Mus musculus: one gene and its partners. The protein of the gene in region 1 interacts with the protein of each later gene in a pairwise test. Links are inferred from orthologs where the notes say so. Each region holds a gene or a part of one and is shown in the gene's direction. Other genes may lie near its edges.

The links.
Region 2: the proteins of Cib3 (region 1) and Sertad1 interact in binary tests that used the Homo sapiens proteins (3 or more experiments, as listed by UniProt). The two-hybrid records come from large-scale screens. The link is inferred for Mus musculus from reciprocal best matches to the Homo sapiens genes CIB3 and SERTAD1.
Region 3: the proteins of Cib3 (region 1) and Trim2 interact in binary tests that used the Homo sapiens proteins (3 or more experiments, as listed by UniProt). The two-hybrid records come from large-scale screens. The link is inferred for Mus musculus from reciprocal best matches to the Homo sapiens genes CIB3 and TRIM2.
Region 4: the proteins of Cib3 (region 1) and Enox2 interact in binary tests that used the Homo sapiens proteins (3 or more experiments, as listed by UniProt). The two-hybrid records come from large-scale screens. The link is inferred for Mus musculus from reciprocal best matches to the Homo sapiens genes CIB3 and ENOX2.
Region 5: the proteins of Cib3 (region 1) and Tacc3 interact in binary tests that used the Homo sapiens proteins (3 or more experiments, as listed by UniProt). The two-hybrid records come from large-scale screens. The link is inferred for Mus musculus from reciprocal best matches to the Homo sapiens genes CIB3 and TACC3.

The regions. Positions count from the first base shown.
Region 1 is NC_000074.6:72,203,823-72,206,837, reverse strand, and holds the end of Cib3 (calcium and integrin-binding family member 3), read left to right. Parts: intron 1-1,079; coding exon 1,080-1,275; intron 1,276-2,407; coding exon 2,408-2,429; 3' UTR 2,430-2,503; downstream 2,504-3,015. UniProt on the Homo sapiens protein: Acts a an auxiliary subunit of the sensory mechanoelectrical transduction (MET) channel in hair cells. Plays a role in regulating hair cell MET channel localization and function.
Region 2 is NC_000073.6:27,485,448-27,489,757, forward strand, and holds the start of Sertad1 (SERTA domain-containing protein 1), read left to right. Parts: upstream 1-1,505; 5' UTR 1,506-1,631; intron 1,632-1,932; exon of another isoform or gene 1,933-2,038; intron 2,039-3,805; 5' UTR 3,806-3,808; coding exon 3,809-4,310. UniProt on the Homo sapiens protein: Acts at E2F-responsive promoters as coregulator to integrate signals provided by PHD- and/or bromodomain-containing transcription factors. Stimulates E2F1/TFDP1 transcriptional activity.
Region 3 is NC_000069.6:84,256,970-84,261,111, reverse strand, and holds the start of Trim2 (tripartite motif-containing protein 2), read left to right. Parts: upstream 1-1,332; 5' UTR 1,333-1,787; intron 1,788-2,887; exon of another isoform or gene 2,888-4,142. UniProt on the Homo sapiens protein: UBE2D1-dependent E3 ubiquitin-protein ligase that mediates the ubiquitination of NEFL and of phosphorylated BCL2L11. Plays a neuroprotective function. May play a role in neuronal rapid ischemic tolerance.
Region 4 is NC_000086.7:49,285,440-49,289,740, reverse strand, and holds the start of Enox2 (ecto-NOX disulfide-thiol exchanger 2), read left to right. Parts: upstream 1-1,498; 5' UTR 1,499-1,640; exon of another isoform or gene 1,641-2,825; intron 2,826-2,836; 5' UTR 2,837-2,896; exon of another isoform or gene 2,897-2,898; intron 2,899-4,301. UniProt on the Homo sapiens protein: May be involved in cell growth. Probably acts as a terminal oxidase of plasma electron transport from cytosolic NAD(P)H via hydroquinones to acceptors at the cell surface.
Region 5 is NC_000071.6:33,664,620-33,668,132, forward strand, and holds part of Tacc3 (transforming acidic coiled-coil-containing protein 3), read left to right. Parts: coding exon 1-236; intron 237-2,073; coding exon 2,074-2,126; intron 2,127-2,423; coding exon of another isoform or gene 2,424-2,444; coding exon 2,445-2,548; intron 2,549-3,343; coding exon 3,344-3,434; intron 3,435-3,513. UniProt on the Homo sapiens protein: Plays a role in the microtubule-dependent coupling of the nucleus and the centrosome. Involved in the processes that regulate centrosome-mediated interkinetic nuclear migration (INM) of neural progenitors.

The DNA.
Region 1 (3,015 bases):
AGTGGCTCTACCCTGGAGCCATGGCCCCAGCCCCTCACCAAGAAATGCCACCCAGGAGCCCCCATCTGTCTCTCTTCAGAGCACAATATTCAATGTTCAATATGAGGACATATGGAATAACAGCATTTTTCTCAGAGTCTGGCCCATAGTAGACATTTAATACTCATGGGTGAATCAATGAAGAGTGATGCTGTAGTTCCCGAAACACCGTAGCTGCTCAGTAAATGAACCAGGAAAACTCTTCCAGGCCCCAACAGTTCACAGCTCCCACAGGTGACGGTTCATCTGTTGATCGAATCACTTGTGCTCCTGTGTATGACCTCAGCCGTATCTGCTGTGGAGGTCATCAGGAGCATATGGGTAGCTCTGTAATGTGAAAACAACCTTTTACATTATTTCTTATTTCAGCATGTGTAGGGGGAGTTAATGAAAAAAAATCACAGCCACAGGGTCTGGCATACAATAAATACTTGATAAGCTGGAGAATGAATATGAAGCAGCTATCACAATGCCTGGTACATAGTATATACTTAATAAATACTTAAGTGAATGAATGTCAAAAAATTAACACATAGCAGGTATCCAGTAAATATTTGCTGAATGTATGGATAAGTGAAGAGCAGTTATATATATGCCTGGCACACTGTGCATGCTCAGTCAGTTGTGAATGACGGATGGATAAATACATTATCCCAATGGCTGGTAAGCAGAAGGCACTAACAAATGCTTGTTGAGTAAAACTGTGAAATGAATTCAGGGTGTCTGGCTGAGACACATTAAGCACTCAATAAACCGAATGAATGAAAAAGCTATCGCAGTGCCTGGCATGCAGAAGGCACTCCATAAATGCCGAAGTAAGAGAAGATCAGTAATCATGGTTCCTGGCACACAGTAAATAAAATAAACAGTTGTCACACTGGTTCAATGGCTCTCAGTGCCCATGGTGCGAAGCTGTAGGGTAATCAGTAGGTGCTCAATAACTGCTGCATGAGTTCTGGGTATCCATGTACAGCTCCAAACATGGGGGGATAGATGTGTCCTTCTGCTGCCTGCTGTCCCCCCTACTGTCGGCTTCACAGACTTCAACAATGACAACTACATCTGTGCATGGGACCTGGAGCAGACCGTGACCAGGCTGACTCGTGGGGAACTGAGTGCTGAGGAAGTGACCCTGGTCTGTGAGAAGGTGCTGGATGAAGCAGATGGAGACCAAGACGGGCGACTGTCCCTGGAGGACTTCCAAAATATGATCCTGCGAGCTCCAGACTTCCTCAGGTAAAAGTTCAAACCCAGCAATGAGAATTCCTGTTGTGTCATCAGAGGCCTCAGGGAACATCCCCAGCTTCTCCAGTTTCAGCCCATTCTGCCTGAGGTCCATAGCTAGGAGGCTGTGAGCATCTCCTGTGGACAGAAGCAGCATTCCCATCAACTGCCACAGGGTTTTACTGTGAATGGTCCTCAGCACCCTGGGATAGGGTCAGAGGCTCAGCTGTAAGGCTGGGGGTGGGTACATAGTTAATACAGTCAGAAGACTAGAACCTGGAGCTGCATCCTCTGTTGTCTGTTTGATTGATTGATTGATTTGGTTTTGCTTATATTTACTATGTAGCCCTGGCTGGCCTAGAACTCTTTATATAGAGCAGGCTGGTCTTGAACTCACAGAGATCCACCTGCCTCTACCTCTGGACTGCTGGGATTAAAGGCTTGAGCCATTACTTGCCTAGCCACTCCCATGAGTAAATTGAGGCTCAAAGGTAGCCAACTACCAGTTTTTAGTCCAACAGCCAGTCTGGAAGGGAGTTGGGATGTGAATATTATCCAGGTAGGTGCTTACAATTCCCAAGGAGATCTGGGCATGGTGGCACACATATCTGTAGTTGAGATATCCAGGAGTCTGAGGCAGGAGGATTACTGTGAGTTCCAGGGCTGCATGAGCTACAGAGGTGTCCAGGGTCTTCAAAACCTAAAATCAATCAAATCAAGAACAGGTCTTGTGGTCTGGAGAAGGGGCTGCTCTTGTGGTTCTGTTCCCAGCACCCCTGTGATGGCTTGAAACTCTCCACAACTCCAGCTCCAGGGGACCTGGCATACTATTCTGGCCTCTGCAGGTTCCTTCACATAACATGCTGCACACACACACACACACACACACACACACACACACACACAAATAGGGAAATATTTTAAAGAATATATTGTGGGAGCCACCTGTAGAATGACCCCAAGGTTGACCCCTGGCTTCACACCTGGCCCCAACAAGTCCCATGGGGACAAGAAAATCTGTGATTTCTGGGGGGTTCACAGGCCCGTGGGTCCCTCTTGCCTCTGCGTGTAGAAAGGAGGTGTTGGGGACCTGATGGGGTGTTGTCTGTGAGCTGTCAGTGACACCTTTACTTTTTGCACACAGCACCTTCCACATCCGCATCTGACATGCTCAGAGGACAAGACCTGGCCCTCACCCATCTCTACTCTGCTCTCTGAATAAATAGGAATCAAAACTGCCTCAGGATCTCTGCCTTTTGCTGTGTGTGTGGCCTTTGCTGTGGCTGCACCCACTCTGGGTTGCTATCTTGGATTCATACAACTGGCGACTTCTGGACCTAGAGCTCTAGAGGGACAGGAACGTCACAGCTAGCATATGGAGGAAGTCCAAGGTCACACCACAGCTCCTATCTAGAGGCCAGCCTGAGCACAGGATTGCCTCATTTTTCACTCACACATCCATGTCTTGTGAATTCCAAGAGCCCAAGGATGTTCCAGGGCCTTTGTTTAGGGCACCCACCTGCTGAAAAAGTAGTCATCCCACCACACAATCCAGTCACCCAGAATCTTGCCAGATTGATCACCCAGTGATTAAAGACCCTGGGGCTGGAGAGGTGGCTCAAAGCTATCAATAGCACCTGCTGCTCTTGCAGAGGACCTTGGGTTGGCTTTTAGTAGTCATATGGTGGTGACTCAACTGCCTGAACCTCCTATTCCAGCAGGCCTGAAACCCTCTTCTGGCTTCCATGAGCA
Region 2 (4,310 bases), on another chromosome or scaffold:
CAGCTTGTCACTTAGCAGCACCAGTGTCTTTACCCACTGAGCCACCTCCTCAGCCCAGCATTCTACTGTTTGGATTTGTGTTTGTGCTTGTTTGGCTGTTTATGTAGTACGTGTATCGAGTGACTGAGAAAGTCAGAATAGGGTGTTGGATCTTCTAAAACTACAGTTATAGGCAGTCATGAGCTGCCATGTGGGTGCTGAACTGAACCTGAACCAGGAGCCGAGCCTGGTCCTCTGCAAGAGCAACAAGTACTCTTAGCCACTGAGCCACCTCTCCAGCCCTTAATGTTCTACTCTTAGTAAATCATCAGGCTATTTTACTTTATTTTATTTTTCAGTGCTGTAACCAAGTGCAGGTGTTTAACATGCTGAAATGTGAGGCAAGCACTCTTTCACTAAACTGTACCTTTCCAAACATATTTTAAGAATAGCTGAAGGCCAGGTGTGGAGCGCAGGCCTTTAACCCCAGCTCTCAGGAGGCAGAGGTTAGTGAATCTCTGAGTTAGAGGCCGCCTGGTCTATAGATTGAGTTACAGGACAATCATGGCTGTTGCCCAGAAAAACCCTGTCTCAAAATAAACGAAAACCCAAAACCAAGACAAAGAGACAAACAAAAACATACACAAAAACTAAACTAAAACCCAACTAACCAAACAACCAAAAAAAAAAAAAAAAAGAATATTAGGTGTGGCATAAGTCTCTGGTTCCAGTCACTGACAGGCTGAGGAGGGTTGGTTGCTCTGTTTCCCAGGCTAACTTGGGCAAGTTAGTGAAACTGTCGCAAAAAAAAAAAAAAAAAAAAAAAAAAGTTCGTCGGTTTTTTTTGCTAGTTTGTTTTGTTTTGTTTTGTTTTGTTTTAAGACAGGATCTCACTCTGAGGTCCAGGCTGGATTCAAATCCACTAAGTAGTCCGGCTGCAAACTCAAAGCAATCCCCCATACTTTAGTTTTCCCATACTGGGGTTATGGGTGTGAACAACCACGCCCCGCAGGAAATTATTTTCAGGGACTTAAACTGCTGCCCAAAGTCACACAGCTCCTCCGGAACTGATGCCCAGGACGTGACTCTGGTGTCGTTCCGTCCCCCCCTTACTCCCGTCTTTAATCATAGTAGAATCCAGTTGTCTCACTGTATTGAGTCCAGTATCCTAAGCCCTACTGAGAAAACTGTTAATTTTGTAACTCTCAAGAAGTAGGTCCTCTTCCAGAAGTCATACAGTTTTCTAAAATAACACATGAAGTGACAGGCCTGTACTTTTTAAAGTACAAAACCCCTACCTGTCATCGCCCCACAAGGGAAATCGCTACCAGAGCTGTCCCTTCGCTCAGGCAGTCCTCCTGGGCATGCGCTTTAGGGACAACCTCCCCCCTCCTTCTGGAACGGCCCCGCTCAGGCTCCGCCCACCACCACCAACGAGAGCCGATCCCTGAGCTGCAGGGCGGGGCTGCCACGCGAGTGGGCGGGAACTAGGGATAGTCGAGTGTCTGGAGTCGTGCGCCGGAGTCAGAACTGCGCCTACCGTCCCAGGTGTCGGTTGCTGGAGCAGAACAAGCTAGCGATGCTACGGCAGCCGCTTCCTGATTGGCTGCGTGTGGCTCCCTCTTCGTTCTGATTGGCCGCGAGTGATCTGTGTATGTAAATGAAGGGGCCTGGTGGGGAAAGACGGGGGTACGGGGGGCCGGGTTCTTTAGGGTGTTCGATACCTCAGCTAGGTAGATGGTGGCCGGGGCTGACCGGGATCGAGCGCCCAGGGCCTGTATGTGTCGCCCGCCCGGGCCGGGCTGGGTGAATCACGTCGGAGCCCGAGAAGGGGGCGGAGGCGCCGGCTCCCTGGCTCCGGCTGCGTGACTCACCCGCCCCCGCCGCCGCCGCTCCGGGAGGAGCCGCCTCCGCTGCCTTCCGGAAGCGAGGGAAGGCCGGGCTCACTGAGCGGCCCGCGGGGGTCGCGGCTCGCTGTGGCCCGGGAGGGACAGGCGGTACCCTGGGGAATCTAAAGGATCCCGGGGTCACTGGGGCCGGAGTCCCCGGGGGAGCCCAGGTTGGAGTACCGCTAGGGGGCGCCGGGACTCGGGGGGGCGGAGTCGGGGTGGGGGCTGAATTCCTGCGGTTCCCGGCTCCCGGGTCTTCAGCGAAAAGGGCAAAGACTGGATTTTTAGTGTCTTGCTAGGTCTAGGCAGCGTCCCCGGGACTGAGACCCTGCGGCCTTTATGCCCCCGTTAGATTAGGCTAGGGGCTTCAAACTCTAGTCCTCTTGGAAGAAAGTACCGATTTTCAAACTTCTGTCAATGACTTACTCCCGCGGCCCTTCAGGGTTTCCCTTGTCTCTCTCTTTCCTCAATAAGTTCGGGACCCTTACTTCCTTGAGTGACTACTAACAGCTTAGGCTTTAAACCCAAGCGGCCAGCATCCCAGTGAGTACAGCAGTCGGAAGGCAGGCAGTTCAGGCCCACTTCTATCTCCAAACCTACACACACACACACACACACACACACACACACACACACACACACACATGATGCTGCCCCGCCACCGATCTTTCCCCAGGCAGCAGCTACCGGGGATCCTCTAGAGACCTTGCCAACTAACGTCACCATTCATCTTCCTGCCTAGACCCTACCCTCCATGACTCTGTCCTGACACTCTGAAAATCCAAGCCTCCTATTCCTGCCCGCGCCTCCTCCTGCTTGCTCCCCACCCCCACCGGGACTCCTACTGTGTCACACTCTCTGCGCCTGCTCCTAGTGTGTGGTGGCCTTCTTTTTTTTTTTTTTTTTAAACTCCCCAGTTCAGGTTTACCTCTCTCTGTCTTCCTTTGGCTCTTTCAGGAAAGCCTGGCCCTGCTTCTCCATAGCCTACAGTGCAAACAGCAGGACTCAGCTTCAATGTACTTATCTTTCTTAGAAAAACCTGCCTTGACTACCTCCCAGGATGGCATCTTCCTACCACTTTCTGTACATTTGACCATAGAGTTCCATGCATAGCAGATACTCTGTATTGAACTGTGTAAGATGGCTGTATTTGTAATCAAGGAATGGAACACACCTGTAATCCTAACCCCTTGGGAGACTGAGACAGGAGGATTGCCTGGAATGGCTGGTCAGCCCGGACTACAGTGTGGGGCCCTGTCTCAAAAGAGCAAAACCAAAGAGTGCTTATAAATAAGAACTAGTGATGTGGTTTTAGAGCTTGCTGTTCCTACAAAGGACCTGATTTCAGTTCCCAGTACTCACATCTGATGGCGTACAGTTACTTTAAAATCAGCTCCAGGGATTCCAGCAGCTGGCTTCTTTGGACATCTGCACGCTCATGCGCGCACACACACAAACACAAAAATGTAAAATAAAAGTAAAATTTCAAGTACTAATGACCATGTTGCAAGGGCTTTTTGTTCCTTTAATCTAATCTGTAGTAGCAACTTATAACAGAATGCTGTCTGTATCTCAGAAGCTCACTGAGGACGCTGAGAATATAACTCAGTTGGTAGAATGTTTGCCTTACATGCAGGAGGCCCAGGAAGTTCCATCCCCAGCATCAAATACACCAAGTATGGTGGCACACACCTGTAATCCCAGCGCTGGGAAGGGGAAGAAGGGAAGAGCAGAAGCTGCCTACATAGCACGTTTGGGGGCAGGTCAGCCTGAGTTACACGGGACCCTGTCCCGTTAGAAACAAATAAGAATTTGCTTAGAAAACCTAGACCTGGAGGTTAATCGACTGGTCAGGATCCCACAGACAGCAGTTGTCAGAGCTGGGTGTGAACTGAGTATTGGCTTCCCATAACTGAATGGCTCCTTCCTCCCTGCAGAGGATGCTGAGCAAAGGTCTGAAGCGCAAGCGGGAGGAGGAGGAGACGATGGAAGCCCTCTCCGTGGACTCGTGCTGGTTGGATCCGAGCCACCCGGCAGTGGCGCAGACCCCGCCGACGGTGGCTTCTAGCTCCCTCTTTGACCTCTCAGTGGTCAAGCTCCACCACAGCCTGCGGCAGAGCGAGCCGGACCTCCGGCACCTGGTGCTTGTGGTGAACACACTGAGGCGCATCCAGGCGTCCATGGAACCCGCACCTGTCCTGCCGCCTGAGCCCATCCAGCCCCCAGCCCCTTCTGTGGCAGACAGCCTTCTGGCTAGCTCAGATGCTGGCCTCTCAGCCTCCATGGCCAGCCTCCTGGAAGATCTCAACCACATTGAGGACCTGAACCAGGCCCCCCAACCCCAAGCAGATGAGGGGCCTCCAGGCCGCTCCATCGGGGGGATCTCACCCAACCTGGGTGCCTTGGACTTGCTAGGCCCAGCCACTGGCTGTCTGCTGGACG
Region 3 (4,142 bases), on another chromosome or scaffold:
GCTTACAATGCCGCTAGCCAAGGAACCAGGGGTCCTTCCTGGAGTAAGCTCCTCCCATCACACTGGCTGCAGGCTCCCAGGCTGTGAGGCAATTTATTTCTGTTATTTAATCTCCTCACTTCCAGGTACTTTGTTTTGACAGATGCAACACACCAATACAAACCGTTTTTCTCTACTCTGTATTTACCTTCGCTGTCTAACCACACACCTGCCCAACCTGTCTTGCTTAGCCAGAAGGTCCCAAATACTTTAGAAATCTGTGTGGCTGATTTGTATTCTGTGACCTCGTTCTGAACCCAACTCCTGGCTTCTCTGGGTCCTCTCTCATTTTCTTCTACTTGTCCTGCCACAGGAGGCAGACAGGAGGCTATGACCTCTGTAGGATACCTTTGCCCCACCCCTGTAATGGGCATTTTATTTTAGTCTCTCTCTTGCTGTCTTTGGAGTCTTTCCCCTTCATTTCAAACTCACCTCCACCCCCTTTCTAGGTTGGAGTAGCCTTGTGAAATTATCTTTCTGCGGTGGAAATCTTATTACATCACTTGCCAGCTCCAAATCTCTCAGAGGGTCCCTTTAGTTTCTAGTCAGATGCCAAGGTCCCAGTTTACCTAGGACGACAAGCACGGTGACCTAACTTCTTTGCCATCCACCATAGAGCATCTATCTGTCTTCATTGCTCCTGCTCTGCCCCTAAAGCCACATTCAGGATCAGCTAGTGCCCAGCCTCTTTGTTCTAGAGCCTGCAGAAGCCCAAAATTTAAAAGGCTTGTCCGGGAGGTGGCGGCAGGTGGGGGTTGGAGGTGGGGAGCTGTCTTTGGATTCTAGACTGATTGAAAAGCCCCATCTGTGCTCTCCCCAACCCCACCCTATGTTTCTTTGACTGTAATTTTTCAGGGTTGGGAACTGGTAAGTCTCCCTAGCATAACCAGCCCAACACAGTAGAGCACTTGAGAGGAAGTAGCGACTTCACGCTGTCAAAGGCACTCCAAAGTGAGGAAGGGACGGGGGGGGGGGGGGGGGGGGCGGAGAAACAGCAATTTTGCCCAGCTGTTTGGGAGAATGAAAAATCAATTTGCAAAGACAGCACTTCCTCATCCTTTTCAGCGCTGACTGTATCATAACTGACTCGTGAATTGGAATTAAAGCAAAGCTTTTCCCCTTGTCACGGTCAGCAGTGTGTGCTTTCAATACCGAACGCCCGGCGGTGGAGGCAGGCTGCGTCGAGCTCGCTCAGCCCGGTACAGCTGAAGTCACTTCCCCTGCAGGGACAGAGCGTGCTTTCGTGGGGTGGGCGGGCGGGTGTGTGTGTGTGAGAGAGAGAGAGTTTTCCGCAGTAGACCTGAAAACCCAGCCAGCCGCGGATTGGCGCATCCCGGCTGCGGCCGCCTGAGTCATCCGAATCGTTCTGGAACCGGGCACCAACTTGCGTGTTTGTCCGCGGCTCTTTGTGCGCGGATCAGCTGTACCGTGGGCTCTGGCATCTAATCCAGGATTTGCCTCTGCGCGAGGCTTATGGAAAGCAGATGTCTCGCCGCTCTGGGACTGAGCACAGAATGGAAGTGACCCAGAGAGGAGCTGTTTGGTACAGACGACACGGAGGGAAGGCCCCGGCGCGGCCCGCGAGGCCAGCTCCGCTCCTCGCGTCCGTCCTCTCTGCCGAGCCCGCCGCTCAGATCGTGTCCCGCGAGCGAGCCGTGTGACCGTGAGGCCGCGTGCGGCGGGAGCCGGGATACCGGGGTCCGCGGCCGCCAGAGATCCGGGTGCGAGCAGCAGCCGCGAGGGTCGCGGTAAGTGTCCCTGGGGGTGGGGGCGTGAGGGGCGCGGGCGGTTTTTCGGAGCTGTCAGCCCGCCAGCACTGTTCCCGGAATCTCACGGACCCTCTGCAGACCCTGACCTGCAAGGAACGCTTGCAAAGTCATTTGACCCTGGAGTAGAAAGCGACTCTATAATCTTAAAGCTTGGAAAGGTGTCCTCTTCCCACCCCCACCCCCAACCCCATTTCTTTTTCTTCCAAAAATAAACAAACAAAAAAATGTTCTTTCTCTTTGAAGGAACTACTCAGCTAGATTCCTGTCTATTAGTTTTCACGCTTACCCTCTGGCCAAGCTCACGCTGCACGTCTGGTTTATTAAAAGGTGGAGATGTTGCCTTTCTGGGCTTTTTGATTGATGCTGAAAAATCTGCATGCTGCTGTCAAGATGTAAAGGATTGGGGGTGGGGAGGAAGCTTGTCCCAAAAATGCTTGTCAGATGCAAAGCATTCCGCGAACCCCAGACATTTCCCCATTTGTAATCTAATCGATTCCAGGGAGCAACTGACTTATTTTCTGCAACTCCTTAATCGAATTAGGGCACAGATAGCGTTAGATTCAAATACTTTTTAATTCTAGTGTGTGTGTGGGGGGGAGGGGGAACGGGACACGTATTTATTTATTTTGAGGTTCTGGGGAATTAATGCTCGGCTGAACTGATAAGTTACGGCCCCACCTCTCAAATGCTTTTTAGATAGTACATTTAACAGCATTTGAAGTTCTGAGAGTCTAAAGATTAGGCTACACGCTAGGATATACATGAGAGGTTGTTCTTGTGACAGTTTGCATATCTATGCCCGCCCCCCCCCCCGCGCCCGCTCAGGGTTGGTTGGTTTGTTTTTCCTTCTAAGATGGAGCTTAACCTTCACATCTGTATTCTTGAAATATAGTTATAAGCTCAGTACAGCATAACAAGTACTTCCAGATTCCTTCCTGGGGGCGGGAGTTACTGTGCTGGATTTTATATGACCTCCAGTTTCAGATTTCCACTCCATTTCACCCTTAACAGAGCCAGCATGGGCGCTTCAACTCCAAGCAACAGAAGAGCAGGAGTGATTCAGAGCACTTGGCCCACCACGGCCTTGAACCAAGACAGAAAGCATTTTATAGACTTTTTATGATATGCACTACATTCCCGTCCTGTTCAAACATAGGCTCATATAATGATTAAAGATCAATTAAAGAGAAGCAGGCCCTGCCTCCCTTCTCCCTTGGGTAAATACGGTCTCCCCTTTCTTCCCTCCCTCATTTGCAGAATTCTATTTCACTCAGTTACCATGACCTCATTTTGGATTGCGGCATACATGGGGCCATCAACTGTCATTATCAATGTTTGTTTCAGTGAAAATGTGCCCTGTCAGTATCTTCTGAGAACGTTTACTCAAACCTTACCTTTATTTTCCTAGAAAACTCTCCATGTATATAAATTGTACTGTGTCAAAAAAAACAAACATGGCATCCATACCTTTAATTATTCTTATATCATCCCGTTACTGGTGGCTTGTGTGGATTATTATTTGGTGAGATTGTAGTTTCTATTTTATACTGAAATACAGGTAGAGAGAACTTCTCATAGGACACTAAATATAAATAAATGGGTTTGAAAGTATGGCCATTAACATGGAATGCTCTGGCCTTTTCTTTAGTCTATTGACTCTTCAGGAAGAACTAATAGTTACCATGCAGTTCAAGAGTGGTTTGTTTAGAGTCCAAGCTACAATAATTTACCGCTGTCCAAATTCATCACTGTGAGGATGTGGCTCATTCAGTGGAGAGGACCCAACGAGGTAATATTACAGTTTCCAAAAAAGCATTGGGAAGGCTCCCACAGCTAAGATCCAATCAGCGGCAGGGCCTACCTTGTTACTGACATTCCTTATTCAGTGAGGCCCATCATGGTATCGTGTCCCTACTGAACAAGCAGCCCCCTTTTGGTCTGTCCTTACTCCCTAAACAGCCAGCAGAACTGCGATTCAAAACTGCATAGGTGTTACAATCTGAGATGACTTAAAATGGGCAGGGGATTGGCGTAGGTTATGAGCAAGAGAAGGTAGTTTTGTACAAGCACTTAGTTATATGCAGAGTTTAATGTCTACGGGGGTGAGGATGCCCTTGAACCAACCCCTTCAGATGCCAAGGAATTGCCCTATTTCTTATACTCTTATATATTAGACTTGAAAACTGAATGGTGAGTTAGCAAGTCTTTTTTTTTTTAAATAAAATATGCATTTACTTATATGCATTTTATGTGCATTGGTGTTTGGCCTGCTTGTATGTTGTGTGAGGGTGTTGGATATCATGGAACAGACAGTTGTGAGCTGCCATGTGGGTC
Region 4 (4,301 bases), on another chromosome or scaffold:
TTTAATGTAGGCACTTAGTGCTATAAAACTTCCCCTTAGCCTAGCCTTTATCATGTGCTATTTGTTTTGATGTGTTGTTTTCCTTTTCCATCAATTCTAAGAATTAAAAATTTGTCTCCTTGAGTTTTTTGACCAAATTATCATCCAGTAGTGTGTTTTGCTTTTTTGAGTTTGTGTATTTCTTATAGTTTCTATTGCTGTTAATATCTACCCTTATTCTACTGTGATTCAATAAAATGTAGGATATTATTTCAAATTTTCTTTTCTTTGTTTGTTCAGTCTTGATTTGTGTCCTAACATGTTAATTTTGTAGAAGTTTCCATGGGCTGATGAGAAGAATATGTACTCTTTAGTGTCTGAGTGTAATTTCTGTAGATGTCTGTTCAGTCTATTTGATTTTTGATGTTGTGTAAACTCTAGAAATTCTCTGTTTAGTTTTCGTCCTGCTTTTTGGTGGGAGTGGGGTTTTAAGGTCACCTACTTTAAATGTGTTTGCATTAGTATGTGTTTTTAGATCTAATGTGTCTTTTATGAAGTTGGGTCTACTGGTGTTTATCCACCCATTTATTTACTGGTCTCTTGTTACATAGTTTTACTTAAAAGATGTTTTCTTGAAGATATGTAAGATATTTTTCTAGTTGTATTGTGCATCTGTTATGAGCTATAGCATTATACTAGTATATGGCAAAGCCATCAATCTTCAATACAAGAATACAGCTTAACTGCCTATCTATTTAGTAGATTTCTTTTGGTATCTCCACATCACATTTACATATTTAATTATGACAAGTCCTAAAGGAAAATATAATTCCCAATTAGAAGTACCTAGTTTTCTAATGACTCTAACAAAAGGCAAACTTTTACAAGGTATATTTTTAATTAAAAATTTAATCTTAACAAAACGGAAATGTATATGTTCATAGCACATGTGTTTAATTATGCATTTGAAGAGGCTTAGGCAGTAGGATTCTTAATTCAAAGCCAGTTCTAGGCTAGATAGCAGCATTCTTCCTTAAACAAAAAAATCAACCATACTCAGACTTCAAATGAAAATGTCAAATTATAATGCAATGCAAACATTCTTTCTCAAAACATAAATACTTTTCTAGTATTCAAAAGAATCTCGAACATTTATCTGTCTCTACAAGCTCTCTATACCTAAGCTTGAGGGTCCTTGCACACTAAACTACAATACCCATAACACTGTCCTGTATTTCAACTCAGGGTTTTCAGGAAGCTTGGTGTGAGAGGAATTGTGGGTATCTAGAAGAAAGCATTTTGACTTCATCTCCCAGAATCCTCTAGCATCCCTTGATACCTAAGCAAATATTGGATACTTCTGAGGAATAACAGTTTCCTGTGACCTCAAACTACATTTCCCATGAAGACACATGCTCGGGCCTCGCGGTTCTCTGATGCCCTAGCCAATGGGAGAGGCTTCAATAGTCACCTGGTAGGTTAGAGTCCAGCTATTGGGCCCCATTGCCTGGCCTAGGCCATCTAGTAGAAGGTGCACGGTTGGGAAGACAGTTGTGGGGCACACCCCACCCTGAGGGCACTCCGGGTCCAGGAACTTCCGAGCGGGTCCGATTTTCCGCGGCTGTTTAAGGAGTAGCGCTTCGGTAGCCGGGGAGCTGGAGGTCAGCGAGGCAGAAAGCCCGAGTGGCAGTGGCCGGGGACTGTGGGACCGAGGGGGTCTAGGGAGGAGGGTGCTTCCGGGGCCGCAATCTTTGGCGCCTAACTCCGCCCAGCCCGCTTCTTCATGGGTGGTGGGTGCCTTGACTGGAGTTGGGGGGCAGGCACCAGTTGCCTTAGCATCCAAAGCACAAGCACGTCCCCCCTCCTCCCAACTCTTCTCTTATTTCCTACCTCCACCCGCCCCTCTCCCCACCACCCAGCGCAGGCTCCTTCTTAGGATGAGAGAGCCTCCAAAAAGTGGCATCTGGATTCCCCTTCAGGCAGGAGTTGGGTGCTCTGTTCCCGCCTTTAATTTGTTGCTCAGCTCTGAGCACCTACCACTGCAAGTACACACACAAACCCCACTCGACCCCACCCTGCACCCCCGTTTCCTCTAGGCGAGTGGAAATTCCTTGCTAAACCCAGGGCTTGATTTTCTGTCAATTTCCATTTCTGCTTCCTGATAATGAGGTGTTCTCTCTCTCTCTTTCTCTCTCTCAATCTCTTTCTCTTGGCTCATCTCTTTTTACTGGCCTTTTTCAACTAGTCATTGGAGTGGAAAAGGTGTCCTTCAATTTCCAGAAGGGATAGGAAGCAGAAAAAAAAAGAATCTTACTTTTGAGAAATACACAATTAAGGTTCAGTACAGTGTTCTAGTGAGGGTAGAGGGCAAATTGGACCATTTAAAAACCTGGAGCATATTAAGGGCTTCCAGCAAAATCTGATTAACACCAATAGATAGAATTGAGAGGCTGCTTTGTAAAAGTTCTAGCCTAACTCAGAGCTTCCTGACGTCTTGAAACTTACTCTTTCCTTAGAACAATCCTAGTATGCTTTGTGGAAGAGGTTGCCTTTCATTTGGGCTCCAGTGGTTTAAAAGAGATTCAAAAGGAGCATAAGAGGAAGAAAATGCTTCTTGATGATGCAGGACTTGGCGAATAAGAAGTGGGGGATGGAAAAGGAAGGAGTGTATGACAGAGGCACACATGGTTCTAGAAGAGGTATCAGCAGGGATATATTGGGAGATAATACTAGGATAATATTGGGAGATCATAGTGACATGACAGGTAGAAGAATATGCAAAGTTTGAATTTATTCTGTATTGAATAAAATTAAAGACAAAAAAATTAAGACTGGGTGATTTTCCTTTTCATCCTAGGGGAACCTGATTTGAGATCAATTCTTGGAGAACACAAAGAAGTGTGGTGGTATGTTCCAGGTGTGAGTTTAAATATAAGGAGAAACTTTTGTCTTGTAGATGTTTTATTTGTGGCTAATCTTCGCCACAACCTGTATCTGTCAATTAGAAAGCAAAGTGCCATAAACATAATAAGAAATGAGTTTGCTGTCCTTGTGTAGCAGAATACCTGAATTGTAACCATCTGATTAGAAGACAGTATTGACTCCTATTTATTGAGCCCACATAATGTCCAAGAATCATAAGCACTTAGTGACACTGTCTGAGAGTCTTATATGTACTATTATTTCCACTATTTCTCTAGAAGAAGAAACTAAACTGGGTATTTTAAGCAAATATCTAAAGACAAATAGATTAGAGATAATCGAGGTGGAGTTTTGATGTACAAACTTCTGACTTGAACGCCCATGCTCTTCGCCCATGGTTTCCTAGTTCTGATGTGTATTTTTGTTCATGATTTTCCAACTGTGGCAAGGAAAGATTAAGGTACAATTGTTCATCCTGGAAGAAACCCAAATGAGTCATTTGGATTTTTGTGTCAGAGTGTGTCTGCTGTAAAGTCGTTGCCAATACCACATTAGATTAACTGTTATAACCATAGTTGATTATGCCTGCCAAAATTATAGTCAATGTTTCTTTTTCTAAATTAGATGATTCTATACAAAAAATTATGTCCAACCTTTACATCATTTGGGTGTAGACAGTTCTTTGGGTTTTATTTCATTTCAGCTTTTTCAAGGGGACCCAGGTTACTAGATGTCCTCTGGGACCCGAGTACACGTGAAATACAAGAAGATACAATCGAATACAAGGCCTGAACCCTCACTGGATTTCGGGGAGCTAGGTGACCACAGTTGTGAGGTACCATGGAGTAGAAGATTGTAGGAGAATGGAAACAGGTAGACAGCATTGTGATATGGTGAGGAAAGAGTAGCTAATCAGAGGAGGAGGTTATGGAAACGTCTTTTGTGAGGAGGTGACATGACAGGCCTTGAGGGAATAAGGAGTTTGCAGGGCAAAGAAGGGTAGAGAGGAGCCATTAGAGATAAAGGAATCACTCTGAACGATGTGTGTCTCTATAAGAGTAGAGTGTGAACAGTTCGTCACAGCTGGGTACAGATGTCTAGGATAAGGAAGGTCCAAGCAAAGCACGCTACAGCATTTTGAGCATGATTTTTGAAGAATCAGCTGTAATGGTACTGAATATGAATACACAGGCCCATTGGCTGTCCAAATGGGGTGCATAGACCAGTGGTAGTTATGTGGTGCTCTCACTCACATTTAAAAGTTCATTTGTTGCATACTTGAATGTATCAGAAAAAAAAAAACATCTGGATTAGCTCATCAAACCTAAGGTTGCATAGGACTTGATCTAATAAAAATAGAAACTACATTAGTCTTAAGTTGATCTAAGGACAAATATTCA
Region 5 (3,513 bases), on another chromosome or scaffold:
CCCTCCTATTGAGCCAGTGCTGGAGCCTTCCCATCAGGGACTAGAACCTGTCTTGGACAGTGAGCTGGTGACCCCTCCTATTGAGCCAGTGCTGGAGCCTTCCCATCAGGGACTAGAACCTGTCTTGGACAGTGAGCTGGTGACCCCTCCTATCGAGCCTTTGCTGGAGCCTTCCCATCAGGGACTAGAACCTGTCGTGGATCTAAAGGAAGAGAGCTTCAGAGACCCATCAGAAGGTATGTGGTATAAATGCTTTTTTTTTTTTTTTTTTTTTTTTGTAAATGCATTTTTAAAAGTAATAATCCTTTCTCTGTCCCAGCTATCTCCCAATAAATGAAACAGAAACTGTAAGATTTTTTTTTTTTTAAGATTTATTTATTTATTATATGTAAGTACACTGTAGTTGTCTTCAGACGCACCAGAAGAGGGCGTCAGATCTCATTACGGATGGTTGTGAGCCACCATGTGGTTGCTGGGATTTGAACTCAGGACCTTTGGAAGAGCAATCTGTGCTCTTAACCGCTGAGCCATCTCTCCAGCCCCCTAAACTGTAAGATTTATTTCATAAGCTTTACAGCACAGTAGCTGATAGTAGTAATAGTAATTGATCTATTACTCTAAACTAATCTGGCTACTTCCCAGCCAAAATACTTGCATTTTAGTATTGGTCTGGCTGTCTCTGCTCAGGTGTGTTCCCATGATGTCTCTTTTTCTCCTGTGGAATTTAATCTCCCCTCCCTCCCCCTTGCTCCTTCCCTATCTCCCTCTCTCCCTCCCTCTCCTTCTCTCTCCCCCCACACCCCCCCGGGCTTGGAAGTCCAGCCCTAGTCTCTCTTCTGCCCAATCATTGGCTGATCAGCTTTAATTGACAACTCTGAAAGTAAGTGGGGAACAATATTTACACAAAATTCAGGCAGGCGATACTTAAAATAAGCAATACAGTGCCTTGTCCCGATTGCAACCAGATATGGAGGCAGAGAAATCAGCATTTGAATAATACAAGGATAATCTTTACACAGATTACAATAACATGCCTACAATGTGGCCCCAAGGTGTCACCCTAGGCTTCTCTGAAAGTCCCTGTGGACACTTATGTACCTGCAGGTTCCAGGTAGTTATCCACAGGCTGTTCCCTGACTAATTCACATACAAACTTTTGCTCCCAGCCATACATGGTGACATAAACCTTTAATCCCAACACTGGGTAGGCAGAGGCAAGGAGGATCTCTGTGAGTTTGGGGCCAGCCTGGTCTACAAAGCCAATTCCAAGACAACCAGGGCTGTCACACAGAGAAACCCTGTCTCTAGAAGTGAGGGGTGGGGAAATGGGGTATTGTCTTAGGGTTACTATTGCTGTGATGAAACACCATGACCAGCCTGACAGTGGTGGCACAGGCTTTAATTCCAGCAGAGGCAGGCAGATTTCTGTGAGTTCAAGGCCAGTCTGGTCTATAGAAAGAGTTTGAGGACAGCCAAGGCCACACAGAGACTCCTTGTCTCAAAAACAGGAAAAAAAAAGGCCAGACAGTGGTGGCTCATGCCTTTAATCCCAGCACTTGGGAGGCGAGGCAGGCGGGTTTCTGAGTTTGAGGCCAGCCTGGTCTACAGAGTGAGTTCCAGGATAGCCAGGGCTACACAGAGAAACTCTGTCTCAGAGAGAGGGAGAGGGAGAGGGAGGGAGGAAGGAAGGAAAAAAATTTTTTTTCAGGGTCTTCTTGACCTACATAGAAAGTTCAAGGCCAGCCTGGACTAGAGAACCAGTTCCCCAAAAGGAAAAGTTGGGTCTTTATCCATGGGTTTCACATCTTCACATTTAATCAACCTTGGGTAGAATTTTTAAATGTCTTTACAGAATACAGAAGAGGGAAAGAAAGTACTTTTTCTCCCTGTATAAAACTGGAAGCTCACCTAGGACTTTCTTCGTAGAAGCAGGGAAGCTGCTAGTTTGGGTGCTGGAAACAATCTCTGAATTTATTTCAAAGAGCAATGATCCACTCTGGTGAATCCTTTGGGCATGCAGCCCTCAGGGCCTGCAGTATTTGAGGTGAATGGTAATACTGTTCATTGTTTCAGTCCTAGGTACTGGTGCTGAAGTGGATTATCTGGAGCAGTTTGGAACTTCCTCGGTAGGTACTTAGCCCTTAATGACAGCCTTATCTGAAATGTGTAATCCAGTCAGCCCAGGCCATCTATCCTTGATTCCTGGAGCATCCTATAGCTTCTGTATCATGTCTGGTCAAGTCTGAGTGTAAGAGCCTTTGTCTTGCAGCAGAGTTCTGACCCAGGACTCTCCTCACTCCCAGATAATCCTGGTTTTATCGGGGTATGTTGTGGTCTCCCCAGACCACTTTGCTCAACAAGATCATCCTGGCTTCTGGGAATGTATCTGTAAAAGCAATGATGAATCATGCTAATTTTCCTAGTCCCATCTCTCCAACTCTCAGTTTAAGGAGTCGGCCTGGAGGAAGCAGTCTTTGTACGTGAAATTTGACCCTCTTCTGAAAGACAGCCCTTTGCGGCCAATGCCGGTGGCCCCAATAACAAATAGGTATGTCCCTCCTTTGAAGCTGTTAGCACCAGCCAAGGCATCTCGTGGCTGCTAACTAAATGTACTGATTTGAAACTTCTGTAAAAAGGCTAATCTCAACTAGAATGAGTGATGGTGACAGACAGGACATTGAGCCTAGAGCCAGACTCACCTATCAGATAGTCCATGTTTGTAAGGAGCTCTGCCATGCTCTCTTCACACAGGCCACACCAGCAATGACTGCACAGCAGGGGTACCAGACTAGGCCAGGTTACACAGTCTGTTTTTATGAGTGAGTTCCACAGTAATGCCTGTTCCTTCATGAATCATCTATAACAACTTGTATTATAAAGGCAGATTCGAATTGGTGTGACAGAAACCATAGGGCCTTCAAATCTGACATTTGTGGGAAAACCCTCTTTAGAAAAAAATACAATCAAATAATACTGAGAATTATGTGCTAAATCTAACACAAGACCCTTGAGCCCAGGGGAGGAAAGATTTGCCCCCTCTAACTAGATATTCACCCTGTAGACTCTGAGGACACCATGTCACAGTAAGGTATCTACACTGTCTGCACAGCTTGCTATGAGCAAGGGAAGCATCAGGCTTGCCTCATAGTGAGTGGGCAGGTGGGACTTGAGGCAGTAACTGTCGGGCCCAGTTCTCCATTCTCAACTCCTAGTCTTTTGGTTTTTTTATATTTGTTTTTAGACTAAGACCCAAACACAAAGCTTGTTAAGACAACACTACTGACTTTTATGCCCTATTCAATACCCAGAGCATAAAGTGATCTTGCTGCGTGCTTGGTTTCAGTACACAGGATACAGAGGAGGAGTCTGGTTCTGGAAAGCCGACAGAAGCTGAGCTTGTCAACTTAGATTTCTTGGGAGATTTGGATGTTCCGGTAAGTACTTTCATATCTTTGGTGCAATTTCTGTGGTCCAAAGGGATGAGATGTTGAGAGCCTATGTTTTATTCACACA